4 linked regions of the Drosophila melanogaster genome follow. The protein of the gene in region 2 interacts with the protein of the main gene of each other region in a pairwise test. Each region holds a gene or a part of one and is shown on either strand. Other genes may lie near its edges.

Region 1 (4,637 bases), on a different chromosome or scaffold from region 2:
GCAGCCGTTGGCGATAAAAACAACGCAGCCGATAATGCTAATGCCAGCGATGTGGACGAACGCCACCCGCTGCATGGTATCCGGATTTTGGACCTATCGCGCATCATCGCCGGCCCCTATTGCACCATGGTTCTGGCGGATCTCGGCGCGGAAGTTATCAAGGTGGAGCGTCCACACTTTGGCGATGAGGCGCGTAAGTGGGGACCACCCTTTCTAAAGAACAGCAACGATGCCGCCTACTTCCTGGCTCCCAATCGCAATAAACGGAGCATCTGCATCGATATCAAGCGCGGCACGCAACTCCTTCATCGCCTGGCCGAGATTAGCGACGTGCTGGTGGAGAATTATGTGCCCGGCACCTTGGAGCGTTACGGCCTGGGCTACGAGCAGTTGCGTAAGGTGAATCCCAAACTGATCTATTGCTCAATGACGGGTTATGGCTCTGTGGGACCGTATGCCAAGCGACCCGGCTACGATGTGATTGCCTCCTCGGTTGGAGGACTGATGCACATCACCGGCGAGCGGGATGGACCGCCCAGCAAGGTGGGCGTGGCTGTGACGGATATGTCCACAGGACTGTACGCCCATGGAGCAATTTTGGCAGCCCTCTATCAAAGGACCCGCACGCAACGTGGCCAGAAGATCGAAGTCGACCTGTTGTCCACCTGCTGCTCCCTGCTGCTCAACGTGGGTAGCAACTACCTGAATTCCGGGGTCGAAGCAGGAAGGATGGGCACCGCACACTCCAGCATCGTTCCGTATCAGAGCTTCAAGACGAAGGACGGCTATCTCACCCTGGGCACTGGCAGTGATGTTCAGTTTGTGGACCTGTGTCGCCGCCTAAAAGTGGAACATTTGGCGCAGAATCCCAAATTCAAGACCAACAAGGATCGTGTGACCAATCGAGTGGAGCTGCTGGGAATCCTAGAGCAAATGCTATCCGAGGACACCTCGCGCAACTGGATGAAACTTTTCGAGGGCGCCTCCTTTCCCGTGGGACCTGTTAACTCCATTCCCGAGGTCTTCGAGGACGAGCATATAAAAGCCATTGGCCTGGTGAAAAGCCTGCGGCATCCCAAGGACGAAACAGTCAAGGTGGTTGGTCCTCCTGTGACCTTCAGCGAAGCGCGAAACGATGCCCGGACAGCTCCTCCGATTCTTGGCCAGCACACGGATGAAGTGCTGGGCGAACTACTGGGTTACGGGCCGGATGAGCTGGCCAAGCTGAAGAAGGATAACATTATTCAGTAACCCGATTGGGATTTCGGACAGTCTAAAGTGATTTGAATTCCTAAATCCTCTGATATATACTGCTTTATATGGTCTTTTGCGACCAATATTTTAGTGATAATCATGCATTTACCATTAGACCGACTAAAGGCCTTAAAAAATAAATGACAATTTCTCATAAAAATGCAACGAATAACATGAAGAGGCTGGACTAACGATCTGATAGCTAAGTAATACAAAGTCGTTAGCGGAATTTCATTAGAACTCGATTTGCTAACTTCTACGACGGGGTCAAAAGACCATGAAAAAGGGCAAAGATTATTTTTCGTATAATCTCGTATGTGTCGTAAATATCATGAAGTAAATGACTGTAAACATTTTGATTTTTACCTAGTTAAGGTACGATGTATACGCAACCAAACAAATACGGCTAGAAAGCTATTTCCTGGTCGGGGTGAAATATACTGGATTAAACGTCAACACTTAAAGCTATAATCAAAAACACGTTCGTTAAATATCGTCAATTAGTATCTCACAAACTCAAAATGCGATATCTCTATAGAAATCGAAATTAGGCTAAGCTGAAATTCCGAAACGAATGTTACATGGTATAACTACTACGACTGAAAATGGGCTTAAGAACAATATGCGCGCCTTTAGTTTAAGGCAGTAGTTTAAACAATGCATGAGCCATTATGAAACGGTCTTATAAACGGTCTTCAAAGGGTAATGTTCAGATTTCAGCGATATACATAGAAAGATTACATGAAACCAAGCTCCATGGATATGAATAATATATTGCTTAAGCAGAATTATAGACTTTTGATATCATTTCGAAAAATAGAATAGGTAAATACCGGCCAAGCAAATTTAGACTGCGTCAATACGTGAAAACATTCTTTCCACAGCTTCCATCAAGTAGATCATAATATCATAAGATCTAACTGATTATCAAATATTGACCTTAATGTCGATCGAGCTATATGTTGTCTACACAAGAAGTCCTAACGCACTCTACACTTTAAGTCCTTGATGCAATATTCTCCAATGATTCTGCAGTTGTCCATTGACCTCTTTTCTTTGTGACAAGAAGGTGATAGTCGTTTTCTTCTATGGATTTCTATTTCTAATAATAATTTCTATTCCCTGGCCTTGAACGTAATCGCTTGATTGGCCTGTTCCGACAGGCGGAGTAGTAGCCGTGCAGGATGAGTGATTGGGGCGGGGTTCTTGCGCACCGGCGATTCGCTTACCTGAGCCACAGCTCCTCCAGGTGCAAACGGATGACGGTCACTATCGATTTCAGCACTGGCAAAAAGGTCGGATTTAGGGGCAGGTGGCACAACTATGGGTGGGAGAACTCACTTGCAAATCAACCAAAAATACAAATATGTAGGTCTGTATGTGTATGTGTATAAACTGTCCAATGGAGCGTCTGCTCGCCAGGAACCCAAAACTAAAACTGAAACTACAACTCAAATTGCAGGTGCTGTCCAAAATGGAATAGCAACAACAACGGCAGCGACGTCGACGTCTATAACAGAATTTGTTTGTTTTGGCCCACTGTTGTCGTTGTTGTTGTTACTGCCGCTGCCGTTGTTGTTTGTGTGCGCAAAGTGCATAGACCGCATCCGCGTCTTAGCCTCCAGCTTGGCCCCAAAGCCAGCGCCCCATCCGATCCCGCCCACGCCCCTCCGGCGACGCGGGTGTGGATTTCGCACTTAATGGGTTGAGTTGGGAATATGGGAAAAGGTTAGTTGGCGACGCAGTGGGCTATCAATTAACAGTTAGTTAACTGCCTCTTCGCCTTGCCTGCAAAGTGTGACCAGAACAGGGATTGAGACGGGAGGTTACGGTCATACTTAATTTCTAATTTAATTCATAATTTGAAATAAAATTGGTTTTATTGTGACGATAAATTTATAGCTTATTTTACGGTTTTTAAAACAGATTAAGTTAAAATTTCAGATTTCAGCTTATAATTATTTCATACATATTTTCTAATTTTTCCGAATTAGTTTGTCCACTAAGAACTTTAAGCACCTAAAATTATTTTTCATCTTTCTGTTATTTGAATTCAAAGCTTAGACAATTTTAACTTGTACGTAAAGTAGTATAATTACACATTTTTGTTTTTTAACTATTATAATCTTATGTTAGTTATAAAAGCGAAGGACCTTACCAGTTACTTCAGGCCTTCTATAATCACAAAAAGTCTTTAAAGAATTTCGCAGCAACTAATATACCCTACGAGAAGTGAAGTTCCCCTTTACAATGCCATTGATCTACTCTAACCACCTCCACCGCATTTGTTATTAAAACCAGCCACCGCAACAAACTAATGACAGATGCTTATCTGCCCAAGCAATCGAAGTCCCAGACAAAGAATTGCGAGACGTTTAGTTTCCCATTATTATCCCCGAAAACGTTGGACTTTGGACCAAGTTGGGGGAGATAGAAACTTTATTCAAAACTAGCCGCCCGTTTTGGGGCAGCGTTATAGGTTGGTATTTTTCGTTGATAAGATTAAACAAACATCGCAATGCGGTCACATCGTCATTGTTGATTTGTGATAGCTGTTAAATAATAATAATTCCGTTTTACGAATTTTGTAAAGATGAGCAAGCAGCCCTCGTTCGTGTCGCGCAACCTGGTGGCCGTCGTGATGATCCCCAGTCTGGTGGGGATCCATCTGGGCTGGAGCTACATGCAGAGCAACCGAAAACTGGTCACGGAGGCGGAACAGATCGAGATGCCGCCGGTCACGGTATGTTAGTCCTAATTCTTAAGGCGATCACCTCAAGACAGCAGCTCCTCTTTTTGTCCAGTTTGCCAGGTTTGTGTGGAACAAGCTAACGGGCGCAGGAAGTTCGACGGAATGACAAACCCTCTGGTGATGAGCTTAAGACATACAATCTATTTATTGTATAGAATAATTAAAACTACATGCAAACTGTATGGTACAATCGGCTGCTGCCCGGGCGACACATGTTGGCCGGGCTGCAGGTTGGGACACAGACAAAATGGAGATATAAAGCCAGAGACTACACATACTTAGTCTAGGGGGACAAGAGAGATTACTGCGTGAGGGCCGAGTGAACGGTGAGGTTGCCCAGCTGTGCGTTGAATAGAACGTCGCTGATCAGTTTCTCGGCCACGATCCGCTGCGTCGGGTTGATGGAGCGCAGTTTGCTCGCCACATTCACGCCAATGGCATCGTACTCGTCGTCTTGCCGGTGCGATGTGCTCGTAGCCGCTGTGGTGGTATAGGCAGTGGTGCCGGCATTGCCAAACAATGGCTGATAGTGATCGCGGCCTATCTGGATGGTGGGAACGCCCTGATGTTGGCCATTCGTCTGCTGCAGGTGGAGCTGCTGCTGGTGGTGCTCCAGATGATTGACCGCCTG
Region 2 (7,876 bases):
TCAGCGATACGGATATGCGTAACGGAAAGATATGCGGGCCAAATAGTGTTCTGAAAACCGAATCCTCGAAAGAAGATTACACGGAAAACTAATTTAGTAAATGATAAGGTCCGCTGAGTTTTCATGTGTATAATGATTTTTGGGTAATGATTTATTTTATTTATTTTTACAAATAAATGTATATGATGATATATATTAATTTCATTATAACTTCATAAGAAATATATTTATATATGACATATCAGGCTCTGTTTCCCGGAACACCAACCACAAATTTCAGAGTAATTAGCTGCGCTAATTTGTTTATCATTTTGTTTGGCACGTCGGCACATGGCGAGATTGCATGTGCCAAACCAGAAGGGCGTGACGCATTTGGATGAATCGGTGGCCATTTGGGTGGGTGGACTTCGGACTGATGCAACTTAAGTCGCACAATCCGCTTGCCATAAGGAGCGTAAAGTATGAAGAAGTGGAGGAGAGCGAACGAAATAAATAAAGACGACTATAAATAGCAGGTTCTGGCCAAAAATATGACTTTTGCCGCGCTACATGAGGAAGCCTCCATCCAGTGACACTTTCCCCTGCCCGCGAGCACTTAAACTTTTCAGCGGGCTATTATTGGTTTTCTCTGCGTAAGTGTCATCTTCTGTTGCCCCAGGCGATTTTCAAGAAAACCCTATATATGCTTATTTTCCCGGCCCGCCTTTTAGGCCAAAACAACACACAGTCACACACACATACATACACACACTCAAAACAATAACGAAAACATCGAAGGATCGTTTGGATTGCCCTCCATTACTAACGGCAATTTCACATTAAAGTGTCATCATTTTCAAGGCCTGCGGGCTGCGACGGTTGTTGACATCCGACTGGATGGATGTCCAGACCCTTCGATTCCTCCTCTGCGATTGCCGTGTTCCTTTTGGATTTGCAGTTCAACTGGGAGTCGGACGGAAAGGATGGACTATTGGCCGAGGCCATTGCCGTTTAAGTTTAGGCAGCAAATGTTTTAAATATACACATTAGCTATAAATATAAAATTTGATTATTTTTTAATAAACGCCAATAGAAGGTAAAAAAAAAACAGACATCAAACCCTTTCGAATTAAATTTTATGAGTTTACCACATTTAAATAGATTTTTTATCTTTTTCCAGTATTTATCAGCCTGACTGATAGGCTATATCATCATCGATCTATAAATATAATCGTTGCCTAATTCATAAGTGCAGCAATATGACAATACCATTTTGCACTGGAATATGACAATGCAATTACATTTAGGCGATTCGCTGGAAATTTTCAAATACATTTCCAAACTACCGGCCTGCAGGGATTTCCGCAGCGTCATGCTTGGCAGGTCCTTTGAGGAACTTTGAGACCTCCCACAGAAAGGCGAGATTCCGAGAAACGAGTGACCCGGACTATTCAGAATACGTTTCCGTAAACAGGGCCGTCAACAAAGGCTTCTATCCACCCCAACCCGCAGATAATTTATCACCTTGCCACGTGACGTCTTTTCGCGACTTGTTGTCTACTTTGCGGCGCATATCGTGATCCTGCTGAATAATTGCCACCGACATTATTCATTCGCGAATATCGCGCTAAACTTTTTAAATGTCCCCAAAATATTTCATTGATAAAAACGGCCGTGGCTTCGTTTTCCAAGGAGGAGTGGCCAGTAAAAGCTTGTTTGAAGCTTTTACGCAATTTTTGGCGCCTTTACATCGGCTCGTTGAAATCGACGCACTCGTCATCGGCCGACGATGGCAACGAATCGGTTTCAACTTCGGATGCGGCCTTATAAAAGGAAGCGGCTCCGCGAGTCAACCACGCAGTGTTCAACAAGTAGTAGGTGCAACAGTTGACAGTATTCCGATTCTGATTCCGATTCAGTAACTCAAACGGTTTCCAGGAATATATTTTAAAGTGAGTGTTAACGGTGTATTTCGAATATCAGTCACGCCAAACTCTTTAAGAAGTTTCCAAAAAATATCTTGTGGTCTGTGTTTAATTTAAGCCAGTCGATTTCATAAAAAGGATAACTAAACGTGACGTGAAATCTTAGTAATGCCGTCGCTTTCGTCATCGATTACAGTGTCGTCAATGAAACTCGAAATACGCGCCTAAAAAAATAAATAACAATTTGTGGACATATATTAAATATGCCAAATAAGAACAGGAGAACTCTTATATTTAAAACTATTAAGTGAATTCGTTCTTAATAATACAGAAATATTTTTAAGGCAAAGAAAAGCCAGCTAAAACTTAATTCATTAATTCAGTACTTTTTCTTTGGTAAATTATTTTAATCTGCTCTTATATTTTGAATTGTATCAGAAGATATTTAACACAAAACTACCTTTGGCTTAAAACTGAAAATTACCATAAAGATAGAGCCTAGCCATTGTAAGTTCTCTTCAAAAATAAAAGTAAAATTTTCTTATTTTATTTCACCAACGCTTTTTACAAGAAAACCCCATTTATATGATTAATTTTATATATTATACTAATCTTGTAAATGTTTAACTACAATAATTTATTTTTATTAATTTATTAAAGTTCAAGCTTTTTAAGCACAGAGCATCACAGCTGAACTAGTTAAATTTAAAAATTCATTTCATTGCACTGGTGAGCTTACAAATTTTGGGAAAATTGGTTTTAAGGTTACTCGGGACAGCAATCCATAAATACTTTATCAATGTCAATAACTCAAGGAATTCCCACCAATGCCAAACACAAATGTCAATAAACCAATGAAAATCTAGGAGAAACAAATAGAAAAAAGCATCAATATTTGTTGTCCCCGACCTCGTTCTCTGTTTCAAACCCCTTAAGTTCCACGTGCAAAAATTCCTGACAATCGTATAGAAATTTAAAAAAAAAAACTGAATCAATCGAAAGCATTCCAAAGCTGTTTTCATGTCACAAAAATTCAGCATCCCACAGGATTTTCTCCTGGAGAATGTATTTACTGAAATTGGTTGTGCTATTTCTTTAGACATAGCAACTGAAAAGTATATCTAGAGGTATTGACTTACATTCCGCAGGCTATACTTTTCATTAAAGATTAGTACACGATTTTGTAGTTGGCGAGGATTTAAAACTGCAAAAAAAATACTTATGAATTTCATGGAATTTTCTTGGCTAGCACCCTTTTTTTGATTTTTCGTAGCAATCATTGCCGTCTGTCTGGTCCTTTGGTTTGGCTCAAACACTTTGTGTAACCTTTTGTGTGCAAATTTTGACAAGTATCCCAGATGGTCGGATTCAATAAGTAGAAAAGTTATGTAATATCCTACCCAGGATTGTTACGCACGTAGACCGTGTCTAATTGGCCGGACTCCGGCGACAAAATGTCCGATGCACTTGACCAACTCCACATCCTTAGCCCTAATTAAGCAGTTTTTCCGCCACACATGTCCAGGTGGTACGTAGGCGAATATAGTGGCAGATAAGGCCTATGAAAATTCCTTTGGGTTCGTGTGCGTTTCGGTTACACTTCAACTCAATTTAGCAATTAGCTGTGCGGTTATTGCGAAAAGGAAAACAGGCGACGGGTAAAAATGAACGTACAATTATATATGGGTTCCTGAAACTTCCCTCGCTTCCAAGTTAATTTCATTTTACCTTGGGGACATCGCCAACCAGGGTGAATTCCCTTCTTTTGCTTTTTTTTTCCTATTTTTTGTTTTTTGGGCTCTGTCCACTTTTTGACACTGTGTCAACAAGTTAATTAAGGCATTTTAACAACGATTCGTGTTTGCTTTGTTTACTTATAATTCGTTCTCTCCGCAGCAATTTCGAATAAGTTGTGCTTTCCCAAAAATAACGCCAAAGTGTCGCCCACTTAAGTGAGTGCCAATAAAAGAGGAGTAATTGAAAAAGTTTTCTTGCAGGAAATGCCCGAAGAAATTGCAATTTATTTCCAAAATTAATACCAAAAAAAAACAGGAAAATCGCAATGCACTTAAAGACCTAAATCTACGAGAGAACATTGTTCGCAAATATTTTGACAAAGTTGCAAATTTTCAATTGAATTTAATCAAAACGTGACGAAAAGTGAAAAGAAAATCATCCACAGAGAATTTCTCTTTCTCCGAGCAATTTTAATGAACCAAATGCAACCGTCTTTATTTTTTTGAGAGGGCGTGACAGAGTTGATTTGCTTGATTGATTTATGTGGTTAACTAACCATATAAATTGAGCTAATTTCAATGTATTTATCTGTGAGGTAGAACAGATTTTCTGGAAAATATTTTAATAAAGATTAATATTATTAAATTATAGAATTATGTAATAAATTATAATTCCTTAAAAAAACAGACGCTTAAACTTTCGCAGCAAACAGCGCTTTAATTATTTACCAAGCCCTTAATTAAATAATGAACTTTGGATTTCTTGGTGAAAATTTTCACACTTTTTTGTCGAAATTTGTCTTAGGCATACATTATTTTCAGTTGCTTGGGCAGACAAATTAAGCCGATCCTAGACATCTCAACCAGCGAGACCGCAAGTGCCAAAAGTTTCAGGCAACTCATTTATATTGCTCGTCAAGCGAATGTTTTTTAAACGCAAAAAAATGCGATAAGGTTGGCGGGTTTCCCCAAAACCCCAACAACCAGGCTCCTGAGCTAAATGGGCTAAAAATACGCTGCGAAGGAGTTAAGCCCACTCGCTCACTTCGGCGACGTCCCATCCTTAATTAAATGAAACGACAAAGCGCACAGAGTGGGCCCAGTATGAACCGCGATGCAGTACCTGACATAAAAAATATTTATAAAAGCACACAAACACCTACTGCACAGTGGTGGAAATCTATGCGAAAAGTAATAGCATTCTTATCAATTTTAATTAGAAACATCTTTCGTTAAAATCTACAAGAATTATAGAGTAGCTTTCATTTGTCTATAAATAAATGGGATGTTAAAAATTAGGCAGTACTTTTTAATATTCGAATATTAATATAAATATATTATTTTTCTGATAGTTGAATTGTGTAATTTCTACTTTATAAACAACATACTGCATCCGTCTTTGTTATTAACTATTTGTCTGCAAAGTACACAACCTTTATATTTTTACCCAATTTTTAAATAACGGCCTTAGTTAGTGGAAAAGGAGTAGAATTTGTTTGCCCGTATGGCCCACGGTTCTTCGCGCGAAGAAAGATTAAGCAGGAGCGCAAAACAAAAGCCCCAGAATCAGCCGCCAAGTTATCCAAGAGACGCCCTTTTGACGTTTGGCACCCACCGCCCATTTCTCCAGTTTCCCTCGCGATTCTCCTACTTTTGGCGGGGGTTTCTTGGTTGCTTGCGTGTTTATCTGAGTATTGTTTGCTTGAGCACAAAGAGACGCCCACACGCACGGCATAATGGGGCGGATGGGGTAGGTATCCATCCCATGGCCGTGGTAGTGACGGTAATTACCCTCTTGTACAAACATCTACGCTTTTTTTTTTTTTGCCTTCCAGAGACATCCACATCGCCAACGACCCGCGCACTAATCCCGAGCTCATCCGCAGAGGCTGTATGAACATGAAGCCCGACATCCTAGCGCTCTGCATCCTGGCTACCACGATCCTGTGCAGCAGGACGCGTCACGTCGCCGGCTTCCTGACTGCACAGTCCACCGCCAGCGGAGGAGCAGGCGGAGCAAACGGTGCCAAAGTGGGTGACCATCAGGGCGTGGCGTCCGTACCACAACGTCTTCATTTGCCCGTTCTAGCGGTCGGGGGCGGACCCGTTCGCCAAGGACCCGCTCTGCCCGGCGATGTCCTGGATGCCCAGGAACGAGCTGTTTACGATCCCGGCGATGGTGAGTCATAAACATCCCTATTACCGCTTTCCTTGCCATGGTAAACTTCCCGGGCATCAGCTAATCCCCAGTCGAATTAAAAGGATAGCAACTGCATCCAAAGACCATTTCAATTAAATTGTTATCGGGTTCTTTTTGAATGCGAAGACGTAATCGTGGTCAAGGTGAATCCTATAACCAAGCTATTCCATCGCCCTATAAAAATATATAGACCTTATTTATATTAGCCAAATTAATAGGCATTCTGATCCATAAAGCTGAGGAACTGGAACTGAATCTGTTCAGGAACTTTAATAAATGAACTAGTTATTTTGTTGTCATTTAGCTATTTTTCTAAAATATTTTCAATATTTAATGGCAGTTATGGCCTCCTATTTACTCCTCACCTGAGTACATGATTACGTTCAAAATTTTTGCTTGCCGACTTTTAGGCGACCCATTCGAAAGGGGTGGACCAAGAGTTAGGGTGACCCATGGCGTGCACTTAGCCGTAACCGTCGCCCACCATCTCTATCCCTAATGGCCATGGTGACCACCGCTCGCTGAACATTTTCGGTCAGTGCACAATTTTTCAAGTGCCTCACATTGTTGACCATCGCACAATATGTGGAGCATGTGTTTGTTTGTGCTGAGCACTTAAAACGCCCACCAAACTGCCCGGGATAGATTTTCAAATTTGTTGACGAATTTGATTCGACGTTTGCGTTTTACGTTGCTACCACCTACCTTCTACCAACCGGCAATAAAATGTCATATCCGATTTTCAATAAGCGAACTTGTTTTCCAAGCGATTTGATAGATGGGTAAATGGATTGGAAATTTAACGAATATCGATTTGGTTTGAGTTGGTAACATTTGAATTTTTGGACATGATCTTATAAACATACATATATGAAACAAAAATTTAAATTTATTTCTGTTTCTGATCTCGAAACTATTTATTTCAATTGAGGAGTCCTTAAATTTAAAACTGTAAATGCTTTGGGTTCATGAGCGTCCGCTGTCTGCGGCTCTTTGAAGAGACATCGAGTGGACAGTGATGGGCAGACTGGATGCCAAATGCGACAAAAGGCAGTCAAGGAGTTGCAGTGCCTGTTGACTTGACTGACGGACGTGGTCGAAAAGCCGAGAAGGCTTCCCCTGCCGCGGAGGGGAAAAGGAATGCTGTGGCCATAAACTCATTGCCGCCAGTCAATTTCCGCCAGTCCATTGAAACGACCGAAGAGCCGGGGGAAAACATATTCCAGCCAACCAGGACAGACAGACAAACAAACTATTCAAACTTTCAAATATCAAACGGCGGAAGTTTCCGATGGCAAGGAGCAGGAGTCGGGGAATTAAGTGGGAGTGGGAGTGGAAGTGGGAATGGGAATGGCAATGGCGTGGTTGTGGTCGGATTAGCGACAGCTTGAATAAACATTCAAATCGCAAATAAGGTCTTTGGCTTGCTCATTTCACGGCAGAATTACTCCGCGCCCAGGAGCTCGGATTGGCAGTGGTTCCTCAAGGTCCCGACTACGCGGATGCGGTGTACAACGAACTCGAGCTGGCCAGCAAGTTCGAGGTGCTCAAGAAGATGGAGGAGGATTTGCGTGCCGAGCAGGAGCTGGTGGACAAATCCGCTTTGCTCATGAAAATGCTGGAGGTGAGTGCGAAGACAGGCTGTCGAAATTTCGATGAAAATGTTGAAAAATACACGGTAAATTAAATTTTTTTAAAATATTAAACATAAACATCAAAACATATTAGCTTTTGCTTATAAATAACTTTTTGAGTAATGCATACTTAAGTGATAATATTTTTAATTTTTATTAAAATTTTAACACAATTTTTTGATCTATGTGCATTTTTTCGCTCAGGATCCCTCATTGGAAACCTTGCCCTTGGTCTACGTGGAGGAGGAGGAGCCGGAGGCTGTGATTCCTTCCGGCGGAGCCGAGGACTACGCCGACTTGGAGAACGCCGTTCAGGATTTGGTTTTGGGCCAGAGCAAATCCAAGCGTTCGCGCTACTATCGAAGGTATCCATGGAAGCGTCACAACAAGAATCGCGGGTAG
Region 3 (5,097 bases), on a different chromosome or scaffold from region 2:
TGCCAACGGAACGAAGCTGGAGGGCGAGGACCTCATTATGATTATCGAATAGACAGTGCCACCGGATCAAAATGTCCATTGTCTAAGCTGCCACCGCACACACCCAATGTAAAATTAAGTGAAAACAGTGATAATCTTAGGGACTCTGTCAGTTCGATTGATCATAAAACTGTCCAAAGTCGCCTGTGTCTATTTTTATATGAATCAAAATCATTCATGTTTCCGTGTTTCCAGGATCAATCGACCATGAGTAACTGGTCAAATTTTTTAGCTGTCCCTGCCAAAATATATCGGATTGCATAAGTTCGTGCCCAAGTATATTTGTAAATTTGTCGTAGGGCTTTTCCCGCAAGTCATTTGAATCAAATTTGTACGATTATGGAATTTTTAATTCGCAAACACCTGTGTCGAGATTCCCCCTCTAGTAAATACGTAAGTGGTTATTAATGTTATATTAACTATTGTGTAATAAACGTTATACAAAATAAAAAGTAACGCCCTGGTTTTTGTAGTGTGAAATTGGTGATTAAACATCTCGAAACAAATATGTAATGTATGGTTATCTACTTTATTTTTTTCCTAAAATTAATTAAACTGAATTAAGTTAACAATCATGAATGAAACGGCTCCGAAGCTAAAGCCTACATGCACTTGACAATGAACTCTAGGAAAGCCAGATCCTTGTTCAGCTCGGTGACCCGCTTAAAGTGTCTCTGGACGTACGGAGTGAGTACCTCGACCATGTTGCCATTGTAGTAGAACCTCGCCTTGGGATCCAGAAGAGCATCTCCGATCAAGTACTTGAGGATCATGTTGCCCGCCTGCGAATGGCGCGAGTTGGTGGTCCATGCCTTGACGTGCTGCAGCAGCGCAACCCGCTGGTCAACGTTCAACTGGTCAACCAATTGCCGGAGACCGGGCTCATCTCGCTTGCGGACAAAGTGGTTGATAATATCGAAACTGGCTTTGGGCTTGTCCAGGTTCAGAGCCAACACGAAGGCCTTGTGAAGCTGCTTCTGGGCGTGCAGAAGGGAATGTAGGGTCTGCTCCTGCTCCAATGCGGCCTGCCGCTTGTCCAGCGCTTCGTTTCGCGTCACCTGAGTGACATCACCGAAGCGAATCAGCTTGGAGTCCGCGCCGCCGGTGTAAAAGAACCGATTGCTCCTGGCGGATACGGCCAGCGCCCAAACCCTATCGTTGTGCTCGTCCAGGGACTGCAGACATGTGTTGGTCTTGATATTCCACAGCTTAAGAAGGCCATCCGAAGCAGCGGAGATAATGAACTTGCCGTGATCCAGGAACTCGGCTCTCAGTATGGTGCACTCCTGATCGAAACGTTTTATGCACGAAAAATTGCTGATGGACCAGATGCGGAGAGTACAGTCCGACGATGAGGTGAGCACGATCTGATCCACCGGAGAGAAGCGCACACTCCACACACCGCGGGTGTGTCCCCGCAACACTCCTTGCAGCGTGTTGGACTCCGCCAGCCACACCTTAGCCGTCTTGTCTTGCGACGCGGTAGCAATAAGCTTGTTATTCGGAGCATATGCAACGCAGTTCACCTCCTTGTCGTGGGAAAGCGCTGCGTAGCGCAGGTTGAAAGAGTACGAGTTGCGATCCTCCTTACTTCTGACGAGCTGCCATACCTTCATGCTGCCATCTTGGCTCACGGATGCAAAGCCAGTAGCTCCGTTGTGCGTCATGGCCACGCAACCGATAGTGGACGTGTGGCAGTTGGCCTGTTGAGTCAGAGCCTCAAGCGAGCAATCTTTGTCGTGCTGAAGCCTCCAAAGCCGAACGCTGCAGTCCTTTCCCACCGAAATCAGCAGATTTTGGGATGCAGCAAGGGACATTACCGTATCCGAGTGACCCACGATCAGCTTGCAATTCATGTCGTGTTCCGTGTCGTACAGCTTGAAGTGCTTGCTGTTGGTGGCAACGGCCAGGTAGCGATCGTGTTCGCCCATAAAGCACATGTCTAGGATCTCGTCGTTGTAACCCACCAAGTGTTTAATGGGTTCCAGGGTTTCAACGTCGTAGACCAAAATATTCTGCTCTGTAGTGACCAGGGCCAGCTGTTTTAGCTCGCTGCAGTGCAGCAGTCTACTAATTTGGAAATCAGATTGAGAAAGAATATCCCTGATCTTCCAAGATTTAGGGTCGACCTGTTGCAGCTTGCCCGATCCGCTCGCCACGATTATCAGTTGTCCCTCGTCTGCGTACACGACTCCCTCAAGCTCATCGTACAAGGGAAGAACCTTCAACTGCTTGCTTTCCAACTGCTCCTGCAATTGCCACACGATCATAACCTTGTCCCGGCTTACAGTCACGATTTCATTGCAGTCGGACGCGTTGCTCTTAAAGCTCAAGCCGGTGACTTGCGACAGGTGACCTCGCATCTTGTGCACAAGTGTCTTCGTCTCGTAGTTCCAGGCATAGACAGTGTTATCCGAACCTCCGGCGTAGATCTCTTTGCGCAGCACATTGGGATGAAAGACGAGGAGCCAAGCGGGACCAGGGAAATCCTTGAGGGCACCCAGACAGCTGTTGTTCGAGTAGTCCCACAGCCTCAGTGTGGCATCTGCACCGCCGCTGGTGCAGATAAGCCTGCCGCAGGGACTAAACTCAACTCGGATGACTGGTCCCTTGTGCTGCGCCTTCCACAGCTTCACCAGCTTCCCAGTGTCCAGCTGCCACAGCCTAAGCAGGCCACTTCGATGGGCAGTAACCAGATGCTCCTGTGACAGCCCGAAGCAAGTAATCGTATCCTCCTCCACATCGATATTGTCCAGCTCCGCCGGCCTCTTGTTATCCGCCGACGGGGAAGACAAGCCGTAGCTATTTAGGATTTGGGAGGTCTGCACATCCACCTGGTTTACAGCTGAGCCATTGAGGCAGTAAAGATGATGGCCATTCGGGCTCCAGGCGATGTCGCCGCCGGCGTAGAAGTTCGTGTAGCGGGCCTCCGCCGCATAGCTGGATTTTAAAATTGTTGTAGTCTTGCAATCATCAGGTAATTATTAAGTTTATGTTACCTTTTCTCGCTGATACCCGCCAGCATGATTTTCGTTGTTTATAAATACAAAAACCGCGTGCGCCGCGGATCAGAACATGAACGGAACTAGTTCGAAATGTTACTTTACAGAGCATGTAAGGGGATATTCGAAATGTATAAGTAGAAAAGAAAAGAATGATATTAACTTCAACTGTGCTAAATAAATAAAGTACCATGAATTGGTGATTTATTTTTAATCATTCGAATTTTATCTGAAAAAATCGCGATTGGTATACGATTGGTTTTTATTGACGATAGTCGTTCCGAAACTATCGAACCTCCTTGACCGATAGGCCCCTTTGTTTTGTCCACCACTAGCCAAGTAAAAGCCGTCAAATCATCGTCGCATTCGACCCAAGGAATTAAACTAATTTTTGCGTTTGAATTGTTTAAATTTTCACAAAGTCTTCGCTATGAGTACTATTGGCACTGGAGTAAGTGGTCAGCGAACTACATATCTGCAGATCCCTAACGTCACCCTCTCGCTTCCAGTACGACTTGTCGGCCTCGCAGTTTTCGCCTGATGGCCGCGTTTTCCAGATCGACTACGCCTCAAAGGCGGTGGAGAAGAGCGGCACCGTAATCGGGATTCGGGGCAAGGACGCCGTGGTGCTGGCCGTGGAGAAGATCATCACCAGTAAACTGTACGAACCAGACGCCGGCGGACGCATCTTCACCATCGAAAAGAACATCGGAATGGCGGTGGCCGGCTTGGTGGCCGATGGAAACTTTGTGGCTGACATTGCGCGTCAGGAGGCAGCCAACTACAGACAGCAATTTGAGCAGGCTATCCCGCTTAAACACCTGTGCCACCGAGTCGCCGGCTACGTTCACGCCTACACTCTGTACAGTGCCGTCCGCCCCTTCGGACTTTCCATCATTCTCGCCTCCTGGGACGAAGTAGAGGGGCCACAGCTCTACAAGATCGAGCCGTCCGGCTCCTCCTTCGGTTACTTCGCCTGCGCCAGCGGCAAGGCCAAGCAGCTGGCCAAGACTGAGATGGAGAAGCTCAAGATGGATATGAGGACCGACGAATTGGTGGAGAGCGCTGGTGAAATGTACGTTTACAGCAAAAAAAAGGGACTGTTTCAAAAATCGGGCGGGCTTTATCCTAGTTCCGAGTGGAAACTTACTTGCTCTGACAATAGGAAGCATTTTTGGGACATCTATTGCACTTAGAATCTAGGTTTTTATTCATAATTAACATATCTATCCTATGTCTTAGCATCTACAAAGTCCATGACGAGTTGAAGGACAAGGACTTCCGCTTCGAAATGGGTTTGGTGGGCAGGGTAACCGGTGGCCTACATCTCATAAATCCCTCAGAACTGACGGAGAAGGCGAGGAAAGCCGGCGATGCGGCCAACAAGGACGAAGACAGCGACAATGAGACGCACTAGTTCGTTTGTGTGCCAGTGAATCTAATTCTGGGCCTCATACATAATGTTAATTTTATATTTCCCTAAAGCGCAAAATGAATAAACAAAATCGGGTGAAATTTAAGGTTTTTATATTTTTATACTCTCATTCTTTAATAGTTATCGTTCGATATAAATATATTGGCTCGCTGGTTATCGGATCTGGTTCCTTTTGAATGTGCCTGCAGCTATTAAACCTCGATTGCTACAAAGAAAAACCTTATCGCTCACAGCTGATGCATTTCGCGCCATTTGTTGTACTTTATTTTGGTTTTAACGACGCACGACTGGAATTTCAGTCTATTGTTAATAACTACAATGACTACCTTAATAGAACAGTTAATTACGAAAATGGGCCTAAGGGAGGAGCCAAACGTGCTAGAGTAAGCGATAAATAAATAGTTTTAAAGGTTTACCCAGTAAGATCGAATCCTTTCAGGAAAACCACCGAACTAGTACGCCTCCTGGAACTGCGCTCCACGAATGTCCCTCTGCAGATCAACGAGTACGGAAAGATAGTGCTGTGTGCGGATCTCGCTTCCTGCATGATTGGGATCGCTTTCGACAAGGAGCAGGCACTGAAATTGTCAGGATTGCGAAAGAGCCAATACCTCAACAACA
Region 4 (4,790 bases), on a different chromosome or scaffold from region 2:
CGGACACTGTTGCTTCCTCGACCGATCCTCTCCGTTCGGCATTCTCCGCGGCTCTGGAACCGTGTGTTGGATCGCCCAGCACTCCACTGGCCTTCTCCTCGTCCTTTCGAACCTCCTCCTGCTTCTCCTCCTCCTGCTTCCGCTCCTTCATCACCCTCATCCTGCGCACCTCCTGCTGGCAGGGACTGCATCCGGGCAGGGAGCGACCCATCTGACCACAAAAGCTCGAGCAGACCAAGTCGCCCGCTTTAGCTGGAAGTAAATAAGTGCATTTGATTAGTATGTTTATTTTTCAAAAAGCAAATTAACCTTAAGTTCGACCATAATAATCATTAAAGTATAATATTTTGAATAGAGTTTCAATATATTATTTTCCACTTACCCCTAGGCAGTCCACACAGTTGCCGGCACTTGGCCACATCCGTCTCCGGTCTCAGGATTGTGTTTTTGGCCACATCAGGCGTTGAAGCAACGCCCAGGCCAGCTCTGCAAGGATCAACCATAAAATGCTGATTAAATTGCAATGCAGAGTAAATTAAAAAAAAAAAAGATTTAAGATGACAGTATATGACACTCGCATTACCAAGTTAAGAACCATGATATATGCATAATTGTTATTGAAACTAGGTTTACAGATAACATAGTTTTAAATAGCACAAATGATCTAGGAAAATCTCGACTTGATAAACTGTTTTTTTTTTTTGTAAAAAATATATTTATTTCAAAACATTTTTAAATAGTATTAAACACCAAATTAAAAAATAATGCAGAGTATATTTTAAATATAAACGCAAGCCAAAATGTTCTAATTAATAATATTTGTAAATTATATATCGTAAAATTGTGAAATAATTTTGATTAGCTTTGACCCGACATTTAGAATTTATTTTTTAAAGCCTATTCAATTTTTTAAGTGAGCACAGTACTTCTGGCGACTTCGAGTGCCATTTATACTTAACATATTTGGCACTTGACAAACTACTGCACACACGCCACAAAAGTCGAGTCACGAATCATTGATATAGCCACCGATCATCAGGAATGCGGATTATATTTCCCTGACACACGCGATTGTGGGAAAACCTCGATGGAAGCCACTTGAAAGGCCGACGCGATTTGCAAATGATTTCTCAAGGCCAACATTTTAGTTGGTAAATGTGTCGTATTATTATCATTATTAGTTTGCACTTTTTTTTGTGTTGGGGGGAAACCTGCACTTGCCAACAATAAACACTTGAGTCACTTTGCGCCGAGGCACCTTACTTTCAGTAATTCCTAGAGTTTTCGATTGCTGTTTATCCGAAACTTACCCGCAGAGCTCTTTACACAGCAAACTCCAATCCTGAACTGCGCTGATGGTTTGGACGTCTTCAAGGATTTTGGCTGCTGAATGCGCTGCCGTCGGAGCAGCATCCCCCAAAGTGTCGTCCTTCAGGACGGGCGATGACGTCACAGCCTGCGCCTGCGCAGCCAGGATGAGGATTGTGACCAATGGTATGACGAGCTGTAATCCACATCCCCCCATTTTTCTCTGTCGCTTTTCAACACGCTCTCCCATCGCTGGGCTGAAAAGAGATGGGTAGATTACGGAACTGGGGGATGGGTTTTTCACGCTGGTTTGGGGCGTATTATCCTCCAGGGAGGACTGGGCCAAAATGGAGACTGTTTGGCCCCGTACAATAGGAGCAATTGTGCTCGAAATGCAATTATCGCGCTCTCAAAAATAGGCAGCAAAAAGCAGCGTTTGGGGTACTTGCCTGCGGGGCCTAATCCTTACACCATTGTTATCCCGAGCATTTGCTATCCGAATATCATTCGCTTGATTTGCCAAACCGAAAGGGGTTATGCAATCGCCTGTCTTTCGAACGCAACTGAGACTCCCACCTGGCATCCTGGCATTCTGGCATCCTGACAACGCTTTTGCAACGGGATTCTCGTCGAAAATACCTCACATAAATGCCTCAGCTAACCAACCTGCTGGAATCTTATTTTGTCAGCGTAATGACAGGCTAAACAGTCGAAATTCCCAAACTCCCATTTGTTTTCCACGGGCAACGAAAAATGTTCATGGCCCCCGGGGTGCGGAGCATTCCCTGGCCCACTGTGCTTCTGATGCCTCTGGCTGGCAGTTGAGAGTCGAGTGCCAAAGAGGACGCTTCGCCCTGGCCAGAAACGCCCGGTCTGAATTAGCCGCCCGAGAATAGCAGACCCAAGCTCCCAGCTCCATCCGCATCCGTGGGTGGCACTTGACTCCAAACATTTTCGCCTATCTGGGTTACAGGGCCTACTTGCGCTACGTGCAATCACAGCCAGGTGAGCATCCTATTTTCTGGTCGAGAGCTCATCTCATTGTTCAATTCCATTCGCTAGTTGTGCTCTTATGAAAGGGTATCGATCCTGTCTAACTATTTCTACTGATGCAAAGTATCTATCTCAATTTATTTATCTGCTATCATTAATAATAAGGAATGTTTATAATGAAGTATTAAATATTTAATGACTGCATAGTTTTATTTTTTGATAATTTTACAAATCCCTTTCAGCTTTCTAGTTTGATTAAAATCAAATAAATAGTTCTTCAAAGCTTTGTTATTTTTAGTAATATGACTATTCTTTTAACTAAAATATTCCTTAAAAATGTACATATAACTTTTAAAAGGGACTGCAAGGCGACATGCTTGTATTGCAACCATTATTTTTGAGAGTATTTTAAACATCGCTCTTAAAATGGCTTAAACCCATAATCCTTTTGTTTGTCCATGTCTGCTGCTGTTTCTGTTACTGTTTCTGTTTCTGTTTCCGTTTCCTGTTACAACTCACTGTGCTTTTCCAAAAGTTTGACTCAATTAAATCCGATTGTTCGTGGCACCTGCTCCGCTCGAAATGCTTAAATCCTTAACTCGACGGGATTTATATAAAGCTGTCCGCTACAAATGGTAGCAGTTGTTCAACTGAGCCCAAACCGGCCCAAACGAAAATCCCACTTACTAATAATAAATGTTTTTGATGGCTTTATCTGCCGGTGTCATAGATTCAAGTGCGAATCAGAGGATAGACTATCGCAGATACACCCGATCCCCCCCTCCTTTTCAGACTGGTCTGTTTGCCATATATCTGCGATAAGTGCAGACCGAGTGCCTAATTATTATTGGTAGCACATGCCGTTGAAGTGCTTTTCAGATAGCAGGCGACTTTATTTCGCCATGTTTAGTGGTTCTAAATACCATGAGCTGTTTTTGTATCAGAAATATTTGTCTGACACTTGTGATGGATGGGTTTTGTTAAAGGGTTACGCAGATGTTAAGGCGTAGGGTGCAAATTCATATCTATTAGGCGCCATATTTGTCACTTAAGGTCTTCTAAAATGTTTTTATTGTTTCAAGAAAGCAATTGAGCAATTAACAATTAAAAAACTGCGAAGAAAGTCCTTTCACACAGTTGTTGCCACATCAAAAGTAACGATTTCGTTGTGCAATTACGGCTTTATGGACTTTCTGCAACTGCCGTTGGATTTCTTCTAGCTAGTGCTACAAAGTAATGCACTACGCCCTATGAGAATGTTTTGAAAGTCATGTTGAACAAGTGTCGACTTCATTTTGCCAATATTGCAGGCATTCAATAAAAAAGATGGATCACAGGGACTAGCAAGGGAGTTATTGCCACTGTAATGGCCTTCTTAAGTTGCAATCAGTTACATCGAAAGACACTTTTCAAGTGCCAGAGCCCTCGCAACGAAAATACGCTGACGCATTGGATCCTGCCCAGGGAGCAGGAGCTGGAGCAGCAGCAGGACCAAGTGCCAAGTGCCAAGTGTGTGGTAACATCCTACGCCAGCTGCTCCGTGTGTCAGATAAGAATGGAAGTGGAGTGGGTGGAACTCTTTTGCGGCAAGTATTCCTAGGGTTCTCGTTGTTTAAGCTTCTCCAGTTTGATGGACGTCCTTTTTGGTCCTGCTGCTCCTGGGCTCTTTACCCAAGTTGCATAACATGGCCATAGATGTTCTCTGGCCCTCAAAAGTATGCTACGAAACGCGTTCTATTGGAAATGATGCAATTTCACTCTGAGATACATATCTATTTTGCATAGCCCAAGTGGGCGGGCGGCCTAGCTTTGACCCAAATTTCGTTTTTGTTCTATATACCAGGAATCTATATGCTTTGGCTTCTATATCTAAGCGCACATATGTACATATATGCGGGAAATGAAAGTAATTATAGGGTTATTTTTTTTTGTTTCATTCGACAGGAAACTCTCATAAAAAGTTGTGGGTCATTGTAAATGTCAGAAACAGTGGCAAAATTAGTTTGTTAATTAGCTTTTCATTTGGTCGCCCCATCACAATCTATATTTTCCTTTCCCTTTATCCCGTTTTATTATTTCTTTAGCATTCACCAGGCGTGCGCACATATTTCATGTGTATCTGTTGGATACTTTGGGGCGCGCATGGCCGAAGCTCCGCCCACGCAAAATGGCCTTAACAAAGATGGTTTCCGAAAAATCAATGACGTCACCCGGAGAATTTCCCGCATTTTCCTCAGCCCCACTGTTGTTGTCGTTGTCGCTGAAGGTTATGCAAGAGATTGAGGAGTAGTATGTATATACATAGGTACGCTTGTAGTGGTATATGGGCAGCCATTTTTTGGATGCGAAAAGCTTCGTAGGCAACTCAGGCGGATGCTGCTGCTCATAGCTCCGCAGATCGTCAGCGAGTGTAGGCTGCTCAGTTCCCTAAGTTTCCCAAACCGAAAGTGAAAGTTGCCCGAAACCTGTGAACCTGTGAAAATATATAT

Evidence for each region.
Region 1: the proteins of CG7191 (region 2) and CG5191 interact in a two-hybrid assay, tested with the Drosophila melanogaster proteins (one large-scale study listed by BioGRID).
Region 3: the proteins of CG7191 (region 2) and CG1671 interact in a two-hybrid assay, tested with the Drosophila melanogaster proteins (one large-scale study listed by BioGRID).
Region 4: the proteins of CG7191 (region 2) and Gad1 interact in a two-hybrid assay, tested with the Drosophila melanogaster proteins (one large-scale study listed by BioGRID).

What each region holds. Positions count from the first base shown.
Region 1 is NT_033777.3:20,559,258-20,563,894, reverse strand, and holds the start of CG5191 (uncharacterized protein), read right to left. Parts: upstream 3,031-4,637; 5' UTR 2,597-3,030; coding exon 2,596-2,596; exon of another isoform or gene 2,539-2,595; coding exon 2,484-2,538; intron 1,410-2,483; exon of another isoform or gene 1,252-1,409; coding exon of another isoform or gene 1-1,251. Other genes in the region: CG10877 (uncharacterized protein), read left to right, coding at 1-1,251; CG15922 (uncharacterized protein), read left to right, coding at 3,848-3,997, 4,059-4,112; CG5180 (uncharacterized protein), read right to left, coding at 4,308-4,634.
Region 2 is NT_033779.5:7,765,787-7,773,662, forward strand, and holds the start of CG7191 (uncharacterized protein), read left to right. Parts: upstream 1-1,841; 5' UTR 1,842-1,931; intron 1,932-5,475; 5' UTR 5,476-5,533; coding exon 5,534-5,819; intron 5,820-7,282; coding exon 7,283-7,464; intron 7,465-7,678; coding exon 7,679-7,872; intron 7,873-7,876.
Region 3 is NT_033778.4:9,846,092-9,851,188, reverse strand, and holds CG1671 (uncharacterized protein), read right to left. Parts: upstream 3,129-5,097; 5' UTR 3,065-3,128; coding exon 3,039-3,064; intron 2,980-3,038; coding exon 642-2,979; 3' UTR 547-641; downstream 1-546. Other genes in the region: PCB (pyruvate carboxylase), read left to right, coding at 1-52; Prosalpha7 (proteasome alpha7 subunit), read left to right, coding at 3,472-3,492, 3,551-4,116, 4,284-4,458; Orc6 (origin recognition complex subunit 6), read left to right, coding at 4,795-4,859, 4,916-5,097.
Region 4 is NT_037436.4:4,085,735-4,090,524, reverse strand, and holds the start of Gad1 (glutamic acid decarboxylase 1), read left to right. Parts: upstream 1-1,780; 5' UTR 1,781-2,313; intron 2,314-2,820; exon of another isoform or gene 2,821-2,944; intron 2,945-4,681; exon of another isoform or gene 4,682-4,790. Other genes in the region: CG14989 (uncharacterized protein), read right to left, coding at 1-252, 383-486, 1,311-1,558. UniProt on the Drosophila melanogaster protein: Catalyzes the production of GABA.